Linked DNA regions of Drosophila melanogaster. The protein of the gene in region 1 purifies or fractionates together with the protein of each later gene. This does not show direct contact. Each region holds a gene or a part of one and is shown on either strand. Other genes may lie near its edges.

What was found.
Region 2: the proteins of rept (region 1) and S6kII purify together in Drosophila melanogaster (affinity purification with western blotting, with the first as the bait; one study listed by BioGRID). This does not show direct contact.

Annotation. Positions count from the first base shown.
Region 1 is NT_037436.4:19,250,343-19,257,859, forward strand, and holds rept (reptin), read left to right. Parts: upstream 1-4,997; 5' UTR 4,998-5,172; coding exon 5,173-6,618; 3' UTR 6,619-6,769; downstream 6,770-7,517. Other genes in the region: mRpL21 (mitochondrial ribosomal protein L21), read right to left, coding at 3,956-4,491, 4,568-4,637. UniProt on the Drosophila melanogaster protein: Acts as a transcriptional coactivator in Wg signaling caused by altered arm signaling. Pont and rept interfere antagonistically with nuclear arm signaling function, and are required to enhance or reduce arm activity, respectively.
Region 2 is NC_004354.4:22,526,584-22,537,905, forward strand, and holds S6kII (ribosomal protein S6 kinase II), read left to right. Parts: upstream 1-3,380; 5' UTR 3,381-3,767; coding exon 3,768-5,919; intron 5,920-6,272; coding exon 6,273-6,856; 3' UTR 6,857-9,788; downstream 9,789-11,322. Other genes in the region: CG17600 (uncharacterized protein), read left to right, coding at 1,510-1,998, 2,159-2,629, 2,687-2,808; CG17598 (uncharacterized protein), read right to left, coding at 10,278-10,411, 10,673-11,322.

The DNA.
Region 1 (7,517 bases):
TGCGAACTTTGCTGCTCATCGAACTTATTTAAATTCGAATTGTGACACGTGCGGGGAGTGGGGAGTGGATTCGAGTAGATTGTCATATCACCATCAGGTTATCGAAGAGGCGGAACACACGAAATAGCACGAAAAGAAAGCCTTGACAACCCTTTCCGCTGAAAATCTCTTTTTCTGGCAGCGCAAACAACAATTCAGTGAACTGAAAAATATCCCCAAGGAGCAGATCCAGCATTTTCAACATTTTTGCATAATTTTCAAGAGAAACTTTTCAAGTTATGCGTTAGGTGACAGAAAGCATCGTCATCCCCTCATCGAAGAATGATATGTGAGTTTATAATTCGAATGTAATATGCTTTGGCCAAATTGATGGAGACAAGGGTTGGGTTGTTGGGATCGATATAATGTGAAAATAATATTCCGATTGTGGAAGCCAAAGTTTTGGGAAAACAAATTGATGGATACGAATATGAAAGGCGTAGGGAAAATAAATGGTATGTTCTATGCAGAAACCCAATATTTTACATAAAGTGCTTGCATCTGATGGGTTCACTGAGCTCTTAACAAATTTCTTTATAATAGCGGGTTTAAATAAAGAAATCTGAACTTTACATTTTACTGGAAATAAAATGTAAATGATTAAATAAATTTAAAACTACATATTCATATGCTTACACTAACACATCTTTGGTATAAAACGTTGATAGAAAATGTTAGAAAAAATGATTTCATCTATGAACAGACGCCTAATAAATGTACCAATTATTTTATTTTTTGTGCTTCATAACTAGTATCAACATTTCTGCACTTCAAATAAAAAGAGTAACAAATATGACGAACAGAGGTGATTGCTGAGCGCCAATAAAAGTGGGATTACAATCAATTGCCCGTCGTCCCTGACTTCGCCACTTAGCCTGCGATCCCGCCCGCGTCAACCCCCTGGACCACATCAAAAGCCACCCCCGGGTGGATTCCCTTGGATTCCCTTGGAATGCTGTGGCTATATCCTCGTTCTTCGGATTTGACCAGCCTGCGGGCTCGGGCTCGTCGGTCGGTGTCTAATCAAAAATGCAATGTTTGGCTTGGTTAAGCGGAAATCGGTAGATTGCGTTCGCACAGTTTTCGCTTGTTGATATTAACACATTCCTCCCACTCCGTTCGCATCCTATGCCATCAACACCCCCACGGGCGGAGGTGGGTTAATGAAACGTCACAGATGATGACGACGTTGGCATAAGATTTCAATGATATGTCAAAACTGAGTGATGCTGATGATGGATGGGTGGTCATAACACAGTATCCTTCGTCCTAGTTACACGCGAAGAAAATCAGACACACTTGTTGAAGTTATATGATGACTTATCTCTCATCAAAATGAAGTTATTATATACTAAACTATTAATTTCATTAATTTTAAAGTTAATATATGTAGCTGTAATTTAATACATTATTTAGCATGATAAGTATTTAAGTAAATTACTTCAAATAAGACACCAATGGTAGATTTTGACTTTTTTATATTATAATACAGCTTAGCTATGTGCCTGAGAAACTGCTTACATTCTTGCACACTTTTTCTTTCAGTGCCTGCGTCCACATTCCCCTTTCTTCTGTCTTCTGCCTTCTGCGCCCCATACATCACACGCTTCCACGCATAAATTTGGAAAATTTGGGCCAACTTGAGCCGCATTTACATGGGATTTTCACGGCGGGCACAAGGGAGTAAGGGTTGCCAAAAAGTGGTGGCTTAGATGGACGTGCGACAGTGGGTGGAAACGGAAAGGGGAAGGGGGCCAAGGGCATGGGGCGCCATAAGAAGACAAACAAACCCAGCATCCGCTTGGTGGCAATTTCCGTTTTGTCACTTAACGCACATCAAATGCAATTTTCCTGGGCAAATAACATAATCATCAGGGAAAAGTAGTAGAAGGGGCGTGGTGCCCAAAACTGCTTGGCCAAGCAACCAGTGCAGGCAGTCAGGTGAAATTTTATCACACCAAAATGCTTTCAATTTGTGTTTCTATTTTCCGCCAACTCTTTTTATTTTGCGCCTCCCATATTGAAATTTGATTTGTCGCCGGCAAAGTGCAGCTGGAATACACATTCTTGTGATGGATATTTGAGCAAAACTTGCCCGAAGTGTCGACAATTGAATTTGTGCTGCTTGTGCAATTTGCGAAATTTGATGTGGCACCATTAGAAGCATCTACGTCGGTTCCCACTTGGAGTATGGCCTTCCCTGGATGGAAACCATAATTTTTAATGGCGTTTTTATATGGAGCGAAAGTGATTTTATTTAGAAGGTGTCAACACGGATGCCGCCAGAAGTGATGAGGCGAAGGAAACTCCTCGAATTTATAACCAAGCCTCTACAATGAGAAAGGAGTGGGGGGAAATGGGTTGGTTTCTCTAATATAAATTCACAGAAAATGTTATAAGTAAGATATATTCAAGATTCAACAAAAAAATTTATTGTTAAAGAATTTATTTTTATAAAAAAAACGCTTCTTTATTCAACAATCTATTTCAATACGGTTGTTTAAATGCCACAGTTTTAAGTTTTACGTTAGACTAAAATATTTAAGGTCAAAAACAATTGTAATCCTTGTATTTCTGTCTAGTAAACTAAAAAAAAATGGAAGATTTTCAGATATAGTCAAAAGTTACACTTGTAATAACCATATTATAATTTCGACTTAAAATCCTTTTGCTTAGCTTACGACTTAGAAAAAGTTTTCCAAAAGTAGCTGTGTCTTTTCAGACATATGTGAGTTAGAAAAGACATATATAGAAATAGTTTAACTGCAATAAATTTAACTCGCAGGCCCAATCATAGTGGAATTCTTTGACCTCGCGTGTTCTTTCAATTTTCATTTCCCCCGCGGCCAAACTGAAACCGGAAAGGCCAAACTAGAAAATGGGGCCAGGGAAAAGCAAAAGCAGCTTTACCAGGCAAAGGCTAAAAAGTAAACGCCTTTGGTTAGTGAAAAGTGAAAGAGCAGCGTAAACAAATACGACAGCCGCCGACTCGGGAGCAACTTACATCTGCTGATAAAGAAAACAGCAGGCATCCCATGTGAGCCATGTCCATAGGTTATAAATCGTGGTCGGGCTGCCTGGTTGGGTGGTTCCGACCTGGCTAGGTAGTTTGGTAGTTTGGTTGGATGGTGCAGCGACGTCTTTTTTAATGAAAGATGGCAACAACATCATGAGCGATAAAAGGTTGTCATTAAAATTGCAGTGGTTCTACTGGTTGCTTCATTAGAGCAGGCGCCTCTTCTTTGTCGCGGTGCAAGAGTCGGGAGCTGGGTAGCTCGTATTCCAAACTAGGTTGCCGTTTTGGGTAAATACTGTCGGGCAGAGTCATTGAATCAAGATGAAAGTGGAATTTCTAATGGAAAGACAAAAAGCAACAGCAGAAGGGCAATATCTGCAAAATTCCACGAGGCAAAAATAGGAATGAAAATTGGTAAAACATTTGCTTGGTTTTTAAAATTGCTAGATAACTTGCTGAACATTCTGCCAAAACTTAGAAACTGTAGCTAGCCATATTTTAAAAGTTAATATGAGCTTAAAATATACTGAACTATAGAACTATATGTACTGTTAACACTGATATCAGTGACTGCAGTTAAAACCAAACTGATGCTTACAATTGATTTTGGTGACTTAGATAAAACAAGAACTTTATAACATTTCATCAATTACAAAATGGGTTTTATCTTAATTATCTGTATTGTAACAAAGTCCTAAGAATATTGAATTTTTATGACATTTATTATTAATGAATTAAGGGCAAATATACAAATATCACTAGAAAAGTTTCAACCGTTTTAGAAAATATACAAAATCAGCATCTGAATAAAGTTATCCTCTTCCAGTTCAAAGTGGTTTGTGTTTTCTTAATTACCTTCCAAAAACTTGGTTTATTTTTCGTGATCAACAGCATTTTAAACTAAAACAAGCGCCTCGAGGAAGACTCCCCCTCGCCATTCCCGTCCACTGGACGAGCCAGTTCAATTGAATTGATCCGGACCATGGTGTGCGGAGATCTCTGGAAGTTGATGCGCATGTACTGCTTCCTGCGCTTCTTCCTAAAGTGCGTCTTCGTGTGGCTGAGCGTCTTCTCCACGACGGTGGCCTTCACCAAGATGAGTCCGGGCTCCAAAATGGGCCTTCCCACGAGCGTGAAGTCGCGGGCACCGGCCAGGAGCACCTTATCCAGGCTGATCTCGTCGCCTATCGTTGGCGGCCAGTATCCCTCCACCAGGATGATATCTCCTGGAGTTACTTTAAATTGCTTGCCGCACAGGTGGACAACCGCGAAGAGTCGTCCCTGCTCGGATTTTTGCACCTGCCGGTTGATGCGCTCGCAGATGCTCAGGCACTCCTTCTGCTGATCCTTAGCTATGGCCGATAAATCCACCGATTCCGTCGCCGGCTTGTTTTGCTGCCCAATTACCGGCGATATGCTCAGTGGACGCATGGCACCTACAAAAGAATGGGATTTCATTGGGACCTGGTTATGTCACATTGTTTACATCGATGCTATTTAATATTCACTTACCTGCCGTCAACAAACTGCGATTGGGCACGTGGCGTAGCATTTGACGCATAGTTTGCGCTAGAAAGGACATCGTTTGGCTTTGTTTTTAACTCAAAAGTACATAAATAAATCGGATCGGTTTAATGTCGGCAGATAGGCAAAATGTGAATAACACTAACGCGTTTTCGAACAGCTGTGTTAGCATGCGCACGTTAACATCCCTGTTACATTTTCAGAAATAGCTTGTAATAGCTAGTACGACTAAAGCTTGAAGCAACTCAATAAATAACAATAAGTTACCGCACACTTGCAGATATTTCGGAAAATGGTTTCCTTTACATTTAATTTAATCGTATTATATTTAGCGGCTTGTGTACTTGTAAAACCTAGCTGCCGCTAGCGAATGTTCTCCCACGCTGCCATCACTGACAGCATGTGCTGCGCATAACAGTGCTGTGTAATCATCGAACTTTCAACACTACTCCAAGCAGGCCGGTAATTTCATATACGAATTTTATGCTTAGCAACTTATTTAAGCCCAGTAAACAACTAGTAAGCCACTGAAAAGATCGCACAAGAGTACAACTCCCGACCAGTGATACAGTAGACAGAATCAAAAGCACAAAATGGCCGAGACCGAGAAAATCGAGGTTCGCGACGTGACTCGCATCGAGCGCATTGGCGCCCATTCGCATATCCGCGGATTGGGACTGGACGATGTGCTGGAGGCTCGTCTGGTATCCCAGGGAATGGTGGGCCAGAAGGACGCGCGCCGTGCCGCCGGCGTTGTGGTGCAGATGGTTCGCGAGGGCAAGATCGCCGGAAGATGTATCCTATTGGCCGGGGAGCCTAGTACCGGCAAAACGGCCATTGCTGTGGGAATGGCGCAGGCTCTGGGCACCGAGACCCCATTCACTAGCATGTCCGGATCGGAGATATACTCGCTGGAGATGAGCAAGACCGAGGCTCTGTCACAGGCACTGCGCAAGAGCATTGGCGTTCGCATCAAGGAGGAAACCGAGATCATCGAGGGCGAAGTGGTGGAGATCCAGATCGAACGCCCCGCCTCGGGTACCGGACAGAAGGTGGGCAAGGTCACCCTCAAGACCACCGAGATGGAAACCAACTACGATCTGGGCAACAAGATCATCGAGTGCTTCATGAAAGAGAAGATCCAGGCTGGCGATGTGATCACCATCGACAAGGCGTCCGGAAAGGTCAACAAGCTGGGTCGCAGCTTCACCAGAGCCAGGGACTACGACGCCACTGGCGCTCAGACCAGATTCGTCCAATGCCCCGAGGGTGAGCTTCAAAAACGCAAGGAGGTGGTGCACACTGTGACCCTACACGAGATCGATGTTATCAATAGTCGCACCCACGGGTTCTTGGCCCTGTTCTCCGGCGATACTGGAGAGATCAAGCAGGAGGTTCGCGATCAGATCAACAACAAGGTTCTCGAGTGGCGCGAGGAGGGCAAAGCTGAGATAAATCCGGGAGTACTCTTCATAGACGAGGTGCACATGCTGGACATTGAGTGCTTCTCCTTCCTGAATCGCGCCCTGGAGTCGGACATGGCTCCGGTGGTGGTGATGGCCACCAACCGCGGCATCACTCGTATTAGGGGCACTAACTATCGCAGTCCGCACGGCATACCCATTGATCTACTCGATCGCATGATCATCATACGCACTGTACCGTATTCCGAGAAGGAGGTTAAGGAGATCCTAAAGATTCGCTGCGAGGAGGAGGACTGCATCATGCACCCGGATGCCCTGACCATTCTTACACGCATCGCCACAGATACCAGTTTACGCTACGCCATCCAACTGATTACCACAGCCAACTTGGTCTGTCGTCGCCGCAAGGCCACCGAAGTCAATACCGAGGATGTGAAGAAGGTCTACTCGCTCTTCCTGGACGAGAATCGCTCGAGCAAGATCCTCAAGGAGTACCAGGATGACTACATGTTCAGCGAGATCACCGAGGAGGTGGAAAGGGACCCGGCCGCTGGAGGCGGGGCAAAGCGTCGCGTGGAGGGCGGCGGAGGAGATGCCCAGCCCATGGAGCACTAGAGTCTAAACTGACATCGCAGCAACCCCCCAGTACATTCTCATGACTATTTTATGATCAATAAATAAGTTTCCTTGTATCTATGATTAAATTAAATGCCTACGAATTTGGTCATGGTTTTATAACGATTGTAATTAATAAACCATTATCAGCATATGGTTTCAAAGTTTTATAATTTCGGAAAAGGATATCAAATGGCCAATTGGGGTAGTTAAATACAGCATTGGCTAAAAATAAAATCATTTTTCTTCTCATTGTAGCAAGGGAATCAAGATAGTACAAATTTTTCAATAATTAACTTAAAAATTGCGTTTAGTAGCTTGCAAAATAATAATTATAATCAATAAAACGCAGAAATGAACTTAATGCGCATGTTATTCGATTCCTACTACAATTCTCACTAATTTCTAGTTTGAGCTATCTTAGGAAATAACTAGAAAAACAGCCACGCGTCTTGTACCTAAAAATAATTTCATTGCATTTATTTCGCATTTCAATTTACTGACATTAAAACTTAGCGTGAGCATATCAAAATATATCGTCGCATCATCTTTACATTGGTATAAAACTGTCTTTATGGCTTAGTTAGTCTCCTTGAGCGCTGCTCCCCTTTCAATAAATGAAATTTGAGTTTGATTTTCAAAGACCCTGGTGTATCGTTATAGTCTCGAGTGATCTGTCTAGTTCCTAGATGAACTCAACGGGTTTATACTCTTATACAATTTACAATTCCATAATGTTTATATATATATATATATATACGACTGAGAATGTGTTCTTAGGCAAGATAAAACAATATCTTATCGCCAAAATCCACACTGCATACTAGGGGATGACTCCACCTTGACTAGGCAGACAATATATATATATGTTCAAAGTGTGATTCAATAGCTAGTTAACA
Region 2 (11,322 bases), on another chromosome or scaffold:
AATCAATAAGAATTCAGTTCTGGCTCCAGCGTGTCTTTTATTTAGTACACAGCATTTAAATATAATTATATTTCAAATGTTCGAACTGAATCATTTTTGATTTTAGGGGCGTACTAAGCGCGATATCTATGTAATTTATTTAGACGCTAAGAGAAAGCATTTATGTTTAATTTAAAAATGTATTTTACTTTACTCTCTTTATCTCTGGGAATTTTCGTAAAATTACCGATGACTATTTTGAGGGCTGTACTTGCTCCACTCCCCTAGTAAGCAATCGATTTGCCAGTTGCACCAAACAATTTGCCATATCGGATGCCATTTAAGTGGTTTGCCTCCAAACGCCGCATGGCACCGCCAAAACAATGCGACCCATGCCCCCGCAACAAAACAATGCCACGCTTAATGGCTGCTTGGAATGGACGGAGAATGTTCTTAGCGATTTGAAAATGGAACTTGAACGGATTACCTATATTTAACTCATACATTTTATTTGTATAATAATTCAAGCCCTTAAATCAAAATTTATTTAGAAAACACCAACATGAAAACAAATAGTGTACCATAATTAATTCAAATTCATATTTAAAGATAAAACATATTAAAGTAAAGTTATTTAAAGGTTTTAGTTATTCAAATCTCCACGATATTGTATTATATTATAGCTAAAGAACAATATAGACATACTTTTTTTTTAAGGGGAAATGCTTAAAAAAAAGTGGTATAGTTTTTATTACTTAAGGAATGTACTGTTTGTGCCTTTTACGTCTGTTTCCACTTTATTTACATTTTGTTTCGGCTTTCGATTTCAGTTTGCGTTCGGTTTCAGTTTCAGTTTTGGCTTTGTTTAATTGCCAACAAAATGATAACCGGTTCGCAGAAGCCAAGCAAAATGACAACCGACGAGCGCAGGCAAATGTCAAGGTGTTCCAAGGCAGAATACTGGCATTGTCAGCCGGTTGACACATGATAAGTGTGGACCGGATCGGATTCTGAGCAGGCTCCATAAGTGGATTAATGTTGACGGAGAACAGGCGATTATTGCAGAAATTATGCGTCCAAAGTGCGAATGATTGATCAGATCAAATAATTGATGAATGGCAAAAGCCAATCGATCGGTGGATAAGCAAGCGATAAGCAAGCAAGCCTTCCGAAAGTGTGCGCGCCAAACAAAAGACTCTGGCAACGAACCTGCTATTCTGCGGGGTGTTCGCTGTCGAGCCGCCAATCCATAGGCCATGGCGAGTATTCAACTTGCTACACTCGACAGAATGTAAAAAACGCAATAAAAATTAAAGGGTTATAAAAGCTGGAATAGTGTCTATTTGAGAGACTATGAAAATAAGCTTTATTACTATTACTTTCGAATATGAAGATACCAAACGATACCAAAGCCATAATCTTCACGTTATTTTTAATATTTAACTGTTCTCCTCATTTGCCTGCAGCTTGTCAATGAATCAGTGACATCACCGATCATCATAACCCAATCATCTCAGCCAATCAGCAGAAATGACAGAGACCAGTAATCAGCAGCCTGGCGGCGAAGATTTCAATGGCCGCCACTCGGCATCGCCGGCCCGCACCATTGATTCGCATGATTCCACCACCGGCAGCATGGATACCATTGTGGATCGCAGCCTGAATCCTGAGGAACTCCATCAGGTGGTGACCACCATCGAACATAGCACGAATACCACGAACTTGGCGGGATCGGGCGGTAGTCTGACCAACTCGCAAATCGGCATGCTTCAACGGGATGAGAATCGAAAACAGCAGGAGGACCAGGAGCAGGCGCGCCAGGATGCCCAAAGTCACATCTATTCGAGTCCTGTCTACGATGAGAAGCCGCCGGCGGTGAAACTCCTATCCGCCGCCCTAGACTTGGATGCCCAAAAATCCCAGGCAAACAATGATGACGATAATAAGCCCAATCTTATTTCGCACCAAGAGTTCAAACAACAGCTGCAGGAAGCTATTGCTTCGCGGCAACCAAACCAGGTAGGTCCTACAAAAAGTCAACCAAAATTAATCAATTTGTATCAGTTGAATCACCTAATAGGGCTAGAGAATCTTTAATTGTCCATTTCTGTACTGCCTTGCTCTCATTAATCCTCAGACAATCGAATATTGTACCAAACACATTTTTTCTTCTGTGCAGGTGAATGGCACTAAGAGTGGGGCCACCACTTTGGACTCCAGGATCAGTCGTAAACAGCGCTGTCCACCGGAATTTATTAAGTACAAGGAGGGCAGCGAGGGTGGAGGCAGTGGCTCATCGCTTTCCTCGAAAGATCGGCGCAAGCGCAAGGCGAGCAATGAATGCTGCTCGGCATTTCCACTGCAAATAGTGTTGGGCACTCTCCAGTTGCTCCTGGCCATATCGCTGGTGGCCCTGGGATCACTTCTGATCGTCCGAGAGGCAGCGCTCTCACTGGCGGGATGCGGCATCTGGACGGGATTGATAGCAGCCGTTACGGGCTCCCTTGGAGTGGTGAGCATGCGCAAAACCCAGACAGCGTTTTTGGCCCTCAGTTTGGTCTGCATCGCCAGCAGCACCCTGGCTCTGGCTATTTCCGGCGTGGGATTGTCAAGGGACCTCAACAGGATGGCGGAGCAAAAGGGTGAACAGGTAAAGCCGGGCTCTTCGCATTGAGGCATGTTTTTTTAATGGTTTCATCCATTCTAGTTCGACTTGATCGATACCAACAGCGAGGTTTCCGCTGCCTGCGGCCTAATTTTTGCCCTGTTTCTTCATTTTGTGGTCAGTATTGTATCCGTCTATCGTTGCGCCCTTCAGATTTGCACTAAGTAAGTAAGCTACTCCTACTACTCCTACTTTTATATATGAAAAGTGGTTGTTGTCCACTTTTGAAGCAATAATAATACTGAATCTATAAGCACAATGTTTTTTTTTTTATTGTTTTTAAAAGCGCTTGTACGATATCCATTAGTTTTTTACCAATTGAATTTGGAATGTTGCGGCTAATATAAGTAAGTAAGTCTGCAAAACCGTTGTATTTATTTAGCAAAGTTTCCGGAAATCAATATAAAAGGGATATAGAAATTTATAATAACGGTTTTTAGACGGTTTACACAAGATAACTTGTTTCGTGACGACGTTTTCGTAATGAATTGGTATTTTTCGCGTTTGGTATATTGCTAGACACGGTCACACGGGCCAAATCATTCTCAAATAAAACTATATTTATATGTTTTTTTTTTTTTAATTGAGTTATATAGACTTTTAAAACCGAAAGAATGTATTAAAAGTGTAAACAAAAATTTGCTGAATACGCACAGTAAAAACATCGGCTGCAAAAAGTAAATCGATGTTTTCGGAAAACTGAAACTATCGATGTAATCGATGGTAACATCGATTTTTTTGCAGCTCTAAAAAAACTTTATTGTGAATGTGTAAATAATAGTGATAAGAAGCAACACAGCTGTGCGGATTGCGAAGCGGATAGTAAAGCAGACGGCGTACGAAACGTGGGCGCATTAGGAAAGCGCTGCTTGTTGGCCGTAGGAGCAGCAGGGAAACCAGAGAAATCCGGAGAGGCAACAGCGCAGTCGACTGCGACGCCCACGCAGCGGAAGTAATAAAAAAGAAAAGTGAAATCGGAAGTAGGGAGAGTTCGGTGGAGGAGGAGCAGCAGGAGGAGTTGGAAACGCAGGGGGAACTCGGGCTCTAGCATTGTGCATCAGGATCTGGAAACAAAGGAACCGCTAGGAGCAGTTGCCTCACAACGCTAGCAGCCACCGAAGTCATGCCGCTGGCCGATTCGCAAAAGGATCTCCGCCAGCAGCCTCAGCAGCAGCAGCAGCAGCAGCATGTGTCCTCCACCAGCAGCAGCAACAATGCGGAGCAGCAATGCAGCAGCAGCGGATTGGGTCTGCAGCTGCGCCAGCGCATGCAAATTACCTCGTCCGGCTGCAGCAGCCTGGCGGTCACGCCCATGGAGCACACGCCCACCGAGGACGATGAGAGTGGCGGAGGCAACAGCGGTGTCACTTCCTCGGTGACCACTGTGACATCATCGCAACGCCGCCAGCAGCTGCAACAGGTGCAACAGCAATCTGCTCTGCAAGCGGCCCTCGAGCAGCATCACATCTCACCAACAGCAGACTTGGATTCCGCTAGGAAAAGGCCGACGCATCGAACCTTGTGCCCGCCGCCAGAACTTATGGAGCTGAGTGATTCCGAGTCCCAGGGAGGCGTGGAAACTGGCGGTAGGAGAGAAGGGGCTACTGGGCGAAGTGCACCTGATTTAGAAGACACCGAGCCCCTATATGAAACAGAAAACGAATTCGAGCTTAAGGAAGTCATCAAGGAGGGTCACGACAAGGCCGATCCTTCCCAGTTCGAGCTCCTACGGGTTCTGGGCGAAGGTAGCTTTGGAAAGGTGTTTCTAGTGCGAAAGATCATAGGCAAAGATGCAGGAACACTCTATGCCATGAAGGTGCTCAAAAAGGCCACCCTAAAAGTAAAAGATCGCGTAAGGAGCACAAATGAACGAAAAATACTAGCGGACGTGGGTCATGCTTTCATCGTACGTCTTCACTATGCCTTCCAAACTCCCGGAAAACTCTACTTGATACTGGATTTTCTTCGTGGCGGTGATCTGTTTACCCGTCTATCCAAAGAAGTAATGTTTACGGAAGAAGATGTCAAGTTCTATTTAGCGGAACTGGCGCTAGCTATGAATCACCTACACACATTGGGCATTATCTACAGGGATCTGAAACCGGAAAATATTCTACTGGACGAGCATGGCCATATAGCCTTGACGGACTTTGGTCTATCCAAGCAGCCTTTGGATGGCTCAAAAACATATAGCTTTTGTGGAACCGTAGAATACATGGCGCCGGAGATCGTGAACCGAAAGGGACACGATTTTGCCGCTGATTGGTGGAGTTTCGGGGTGCTCATGTACGAAATGTTAACGGGGAATTTACCCTTTCATGGCCAAACCCGCCAAGAGACTATGAATCAGATCCTTAGAAGTAAGCTGGGCATGCCGGAGAATTTGTCGCCAGAGGCGCAATCCCTGCTACGTGCTCTCTTCAAAAGAAACCCCCAGAATCGTTTGGGTGCGGGTGCCCAAGGAATTCTGGACATCAAGGCGCACTGCTTTTTTGCCACCATCGACTGGGTGAGATTAGAACGAAAGCAGGTGCGTCCGCCTTTCATACCGGCGGTTAGCCGTGACGATGCCTTTTACTTTGATGTGGAGTACACCTCAAAGTCCCCCAGGGATTCTCCGGGTGGCCCGATCTCCGCATCTGCCCATGAGATCTTCCGCGGGTTCAGCTTTGTGGCTCCTGTCCTTCTGGAAGGTCAGTGTGCTGGCTCGAATATGTGCTCCACCAGCGCCAGTCCTCTGCATAGTATAGCTCCTATTCCTGCTGCTCCAGTGGGAGCCCCTCGAACATTACCTGGTGTTCTTCCCGGAAACTTCCATGCGGAATATAATCTACTGCAAGAACTGGGACGTGGAACCTTTTCAGTTTGTCGGTTGTGCGAGCATCGAGCCTCCAAGAAACATTACGCAGTAAAAGTAATCGAAAAGGCAGCTGTGGCCGCAGCATCCACATCCACTTCTGCCGATTGTTGGGAGGAGGTGGAGATTATGCTGAGGTACGGCAACCACCCAAATATCGTCACTCTGTACTCTGTTTACGAGGATGCGGGGTCCGCATATCTTGTGATGGAGCTGCTTAAGGGTGGCGAGCTTCTCGATCGGATACTTGCCGTGGGCCAGATGTGCGAGAGTGAGGCCAGCGCGGTGTTAAGGACAATTGCATCTGCGGTAGCATATCTCCATGAACATGGCGTGGTCCATCGAGATCTTAAGCCTTCAAATATGATATATGCCAGTATGCGGCAAACTCCCGAGACCCTAAAGCTCTGCGATTTGGGTGAGTGCGGAGCGGAACTAGTTAAATATATTTTATTATAGCCTTGCAGTAAATTTTCCAATTGCTGACAAACATGATTCACTTTAAAAGCTAAACTTTCGTAATTTTTAATTCCTTTAACTATTATTTGTTTTCTAAGTTACTTTGTTATTTGCAATTTTAAAGGTTTCTTTTCTCCAAACAGAAGGTTTTTCATTTTAAGATCTTATTTAGCCAAAGTTCCATCCTATTGCAATTGAAATCATTTGATAATATTTAAATTCAGAAAGCATTTATTTCTGCAAGGCTATATATTTTTCTGTGCGAGTATTTCTTGTTGGTAGAGCAGGAGTAACCTTCCGATTTCCGCTTAGGTTTCGCGAAGCAGCTGCGCGCGGACAACGGCCTCCTGATGACGCCATGCTACACAGCCAATTTTGTGGCTCCCGAGGTTCTAAAGAGACAGGGCTATGACCTGGCTTGCGACATCTGGTCGCTCGGTGTGCTGCTTTACATCATGTTATCCGGCCGGACGCCTTTCGCCAGCACTCCAAATGATTCACCGGACGTAATACTGAAGCGCATCGGATCAGGACAAATTGACTTCACAAGCAGTCGCTGGGCACTGATCAGTGTGCCGGCCAAAGAACTTTTGCGTCAGATGCTACACATAGTACCGGAGAATCGGCCGACGGCGGCGCGAATACTTGAGCACGACTGGCTGCGGGAGCAATTCGCCGGCGGCGTACAGCTTACAGAGTATGCGGTGGCGCCCGGATCCCAACTTTCGCTGGGCGCCCAGCAGCAGCAGCAGAATCACATCTCCATGGCCTTAAGAGGCGCTGTTGATGCCACTTTCCGGGCTATTGCCATACCCCAGGCGGCGAATGTGGGACCCGTAGAACTTTCCATGCTCGCCAAGAGGCGGGCCAAAGATCGAGCCAACCTGCACTCCTAATCCTGGGCGGCTGCATGGTGTCCGCGGCGCCAGGCCAAGCGGCAGATAGTCCGACTACTTTTCCGAATCTATAGTATTCTAATCCAATGCTGCTGTGCCAATCCGCGTCGTCTTGTCAAGGACAATGCGCAGAAGCTTGGTTCACATCCACAAACGCTGGGCAATCCTCGCCAACGCTGCCGCAGCGCCAAGCTGCGTGTGGTTTAGGTTTTGGGGGAATCGGCCTAACCTAAAGTATTTGACAAGTGTTAATTATTTATTTTATATGAAAGCATGCCAATATGCCAAGGCCATAACGCACTGTGCGGGGCATCTATATACACATATATATAACTATACAAATACTGATATACATCTATATATAGCTATTTATATAACGAATCCTAAAGCAAGGGCCTAGAGAGCGCGTGTGAATGTGGCGCCAGGATCATCCCAGATGATTCCTGAAACCACATTATTTATCCCAAACTGGAAATTAAAAAAAAGCCTCTCGCCCAAGTTTACATATTTTTAATTAAATTAATCGTAGCTAAATTTTTCAACATCACCGTGTTATTGTTGCTTAATTAAATTAATTAAAATGAAAAAAAAAATGGAAAAAAGTATTAGCAAAACAAACAAAAATTAAGAATAAAAGCCGCAATCCTTTTATATAATAATAACTTTTTTCGCCAAACTATAAAGGAAGAACAAAGAACCCAAAAAAAACTGTGTAGAAAGATAAGAAAATCAAACCACAAGAGTTTCCACAATTCTTACTTGGAATGTCAATTTGCACAATGAAATATGAAACTAAGCAAAAGATAAACATAACTACCATATTATACAGAATGTGTACATAAAGCGGAAACTGTGCTTTTCGGGTTTATAAGGCAAAGGATATTAGAAAAGAGTATTTTATTAATAATTCCCTAAACAATAAAAACCGACGTTCTTTCCAACACTGCACAAGGGTGCATATTGTTATTTAATTGTAATTAAGAAACGTAAATCCTGCTAACTTGTCTTACAGTCGCGAAACGCACAGTTTAGTTGTAATAACGCCGGGGAAACAGTTGTGACAACATCAAATTGGGTTTCCATTTTGTTTGCTAACGTCTTCCAACAGAAATTATATCAAACAATATACCTTTTTGCGCTGTAACCAGATATAGAAAGTTCCGACTTACCATTGGATGATTTAGAACCGAAACCGCGATATATTCCATCATACTCGTACTGAATACAAATAGGATAGCGTCGTATAAACGACTTGGGTTAATGCAGAGAATTCCATTTGTTTGTGCTAGTTTCTCTAAAAACTGCACGATCATCAGTTCCCAACAACTTGTTTCGACTCTTCGAAGACAATTCCAATTTTGTTGTATTTTTGCCAAGGAAAACTTGTTAAAATTATGCTAGAGGGAAATATACAAAAAAAAAAAAAGAAAATACAAGCAAAGTGGAACGAAATTGAATAAATTATGTAGAAGAGCCATGTGAATCCTTAGAAGCTATGTATGCCACTTGAAAAGCAGAAGTTTCTTGTTTGCGAGCTTGTGTGTGTGCATAAGAGGCTGTGTGTGTGCTTCTTGTAAGTGCATGTGTGTGTGTGCTAAAGGATTATTGTGCTGTGCCACTACTGAACTTACTGCTACCAAAAATAAAACAATAACTTCATATACATATTTACACCACCTAAACAAGGTTAGTAAAACTTAGAAATTTTTTAAAAAAGGATAACATCCCTTGAATAAAACTGTATTTTCGTGGTGTTATTAAAAGGAGTTGGAGGGGGAAAATGGTATGATTATCCTAAAGTACATATATAATTAGCTAGCTGCGGAGGGAAAACAATGTGTACACATTGACATATAATATAGAAAATATTTAAGAAGGATCTTGAGATGAACATTTCGCCTAATAGTTGTCACGATAAACTTTTGCAAAATATGTTGCGTCTACAGCAATGATTTATACTTAATTACCTTGTTTTGAAATGACGACAACCAAATTGAAGGGATACGTCGTTTCCCTGCTTCGTTTTTTAACAGATTCATACACAAATTATAAAACGAAGTTGAGACAGGCAGAAAAAGAATTTTAGTCCACGGGCTGATGAGAAATCTAATCCAGCGATTAGATTAAAACTCATGTATACAAAAGTGGCCTACTATGATAAAAACTGTAATCATTTATCAATAATTCCGAACGGTCTCTTACAAAAATGTTCGGGTTGCACAAAAAGGACAGAGACAACAGATAGTTTAAGCATACAATACAAGCAACCCACTTTAAAGCCAACTCTCGACTAAATTCCCCAAGAACATACATATATATCTTAATCATATATATGAATGCGTGAATATATTTTCTTAGTAGATTTTAACAGCTTCCAGACTATACATACATTCAAATGATTGAATTCCGATATGAATCATTTAATTAATAAACATATTCAACGAAACTGATTCGAAATTATTGTTAAGTTGAATTTTTCAAACCAAGCAGAAGGAACCTAATTGAAAAACAAATAACCAATTCGAATTGTTTCGATCTAATTGGGATATCCAAAATACATTTATAATGTCGTATAAGACAGCAAGTGAATCATTTTCATTATTTCGCTCGATTTTTATCTTTCAATATAAGGATCTGTACCAAAATGGTTTAGGAACACTCTTCGGCTGTTTATAGAGTAAACAAAAATTACCTGCCTTTAAAAAATGTATTCATCCAAATATTAACTTCAAATCAAACGACATTCCTAATGTTAAACATAAAAACATAACATTTTAAAATATAATATAATGCACTGAAATTTCGCTTCTACAGAATAGAACGTTAACAGAACTGATCAGGATTTAAACATTTTCTGGGCGCTACTGATAACAAAACGAAGGAATCCAAAAGTAATCTGTATTGGCATACAGCAGAGTGTTAAGCGACATTTAAAAGTTATTCAAGCCTTTCTTATCGCTTGTGTTTCTTATCAGTTGCCCCAATAATTCTCTGGTCTGTTAGTTTAGTTAACAATATTTGTAATTATATTTTATATTAATAGTTGGCTTATGTTATACGCAGCTTAAATTACTTTTTATGCTTTCATTTGGAATCATAAGGTTTTTATTTGCGTTATTGAAAATATCGCCTCCGTTACTATTGGGCTTTGTTCGTCATTCAATCTTTTAGGATAAAATAAATACACTTCATTGCCGCAAATTATTGTACAGTTTCATTAAGTTGACATGCGTTTCTGTTTTGTTTGTTTGGGGGCGTACATAAGCAAATTATGTAAACTTTGAATGTTTTGAATTTGTCCTTTCGTGTGGAGTGTAAAAACAAATATAGATGTGCCCATTTCAGCCGCATCCATATCCGTTCGAATATTGCTTAGTCTAATTACGACTAATGTATCGGCCTGGGTGGCATTACCTTCGTCCTAGTGCTTGCCTTTGCCCTTGCGACCCTTCTGTTGTTGTTGTTGTTGTTGTTGCTGCTGCTGCTGTGACTGCTGTCTCGTCGTGGACGCCTCTTTGTCCTTATCATTAACGTTCTCCTTGCTGGATTCGCCTTCTAAAAAGTAAAATTGGGTTAGGCATTGATTTCATTTAGGGGGAAATTTTCTATAAAAAATTATGATAACTACAAAATCATAGTTCTATATAGCTTAGTTGATGTTTTAATATAGAAATATTTAGTTAACGTTGGTTCTTCATAAACAAAACTTTTTCTTTAGATTTTATTTTCGTAAAAGAAAACACATTATAATAGCGAGTATATGTGAGGAAGAAGAAGAACTATTGTTTATGGGTTAGCTTGGAAGTTTTTGCTCACCCGCTGAATCCGCGTTCTGAATGTGAACTTGCTCCAGTGAAGGGGTCAGCTCTACCACCAGGGTTTCGTCGAGTGTCCCGTCCAGCCGCCTTGGAACTTTCGTTTGATTGTGAGAAGTCCTGGCCTCATGAACAACCACTTCGCCTTCCTCTTCCTCTTCAACCACGTGAGCTTCCTCGGCAATCACGCCATTGAGCACGTTGACCGCTTCCTGCGCCATATGGGCCTGGGCCTGGCGGCGACGATGTTCGAGATCTCGTTTGTAGTTTTGCGTCCACTCCACGTGCTCTTTGTAATACTGGCAAACCGGGATAACAATCACCGAGATGTCATCAACAGTGGCTGCAGCCTTGCTATCTGCGAGTCGCCAATGCCCGGAGTCGTTGATTTTGCCACGAGCACGGGCCACCAGCTCCTGGGCGACCATCGTGTAACGATGTTTCTCCGTTGAATATTTGGAGAGCGTCTGGAAGACGGTGCGTGAAACGGCGTCATTTTCGGACACATCCCACAGGCCATCGGTGGCCATGACGAGCACTCCGTAGTCGCCATCCCGGTTGTCCTCATCCGGAATTGAAACCACCTGTGTCAGATCCCGCTGCCTGACATCGGGGTGAGGCGTGAGAAATGGTTTTATCTGAATACCTGTG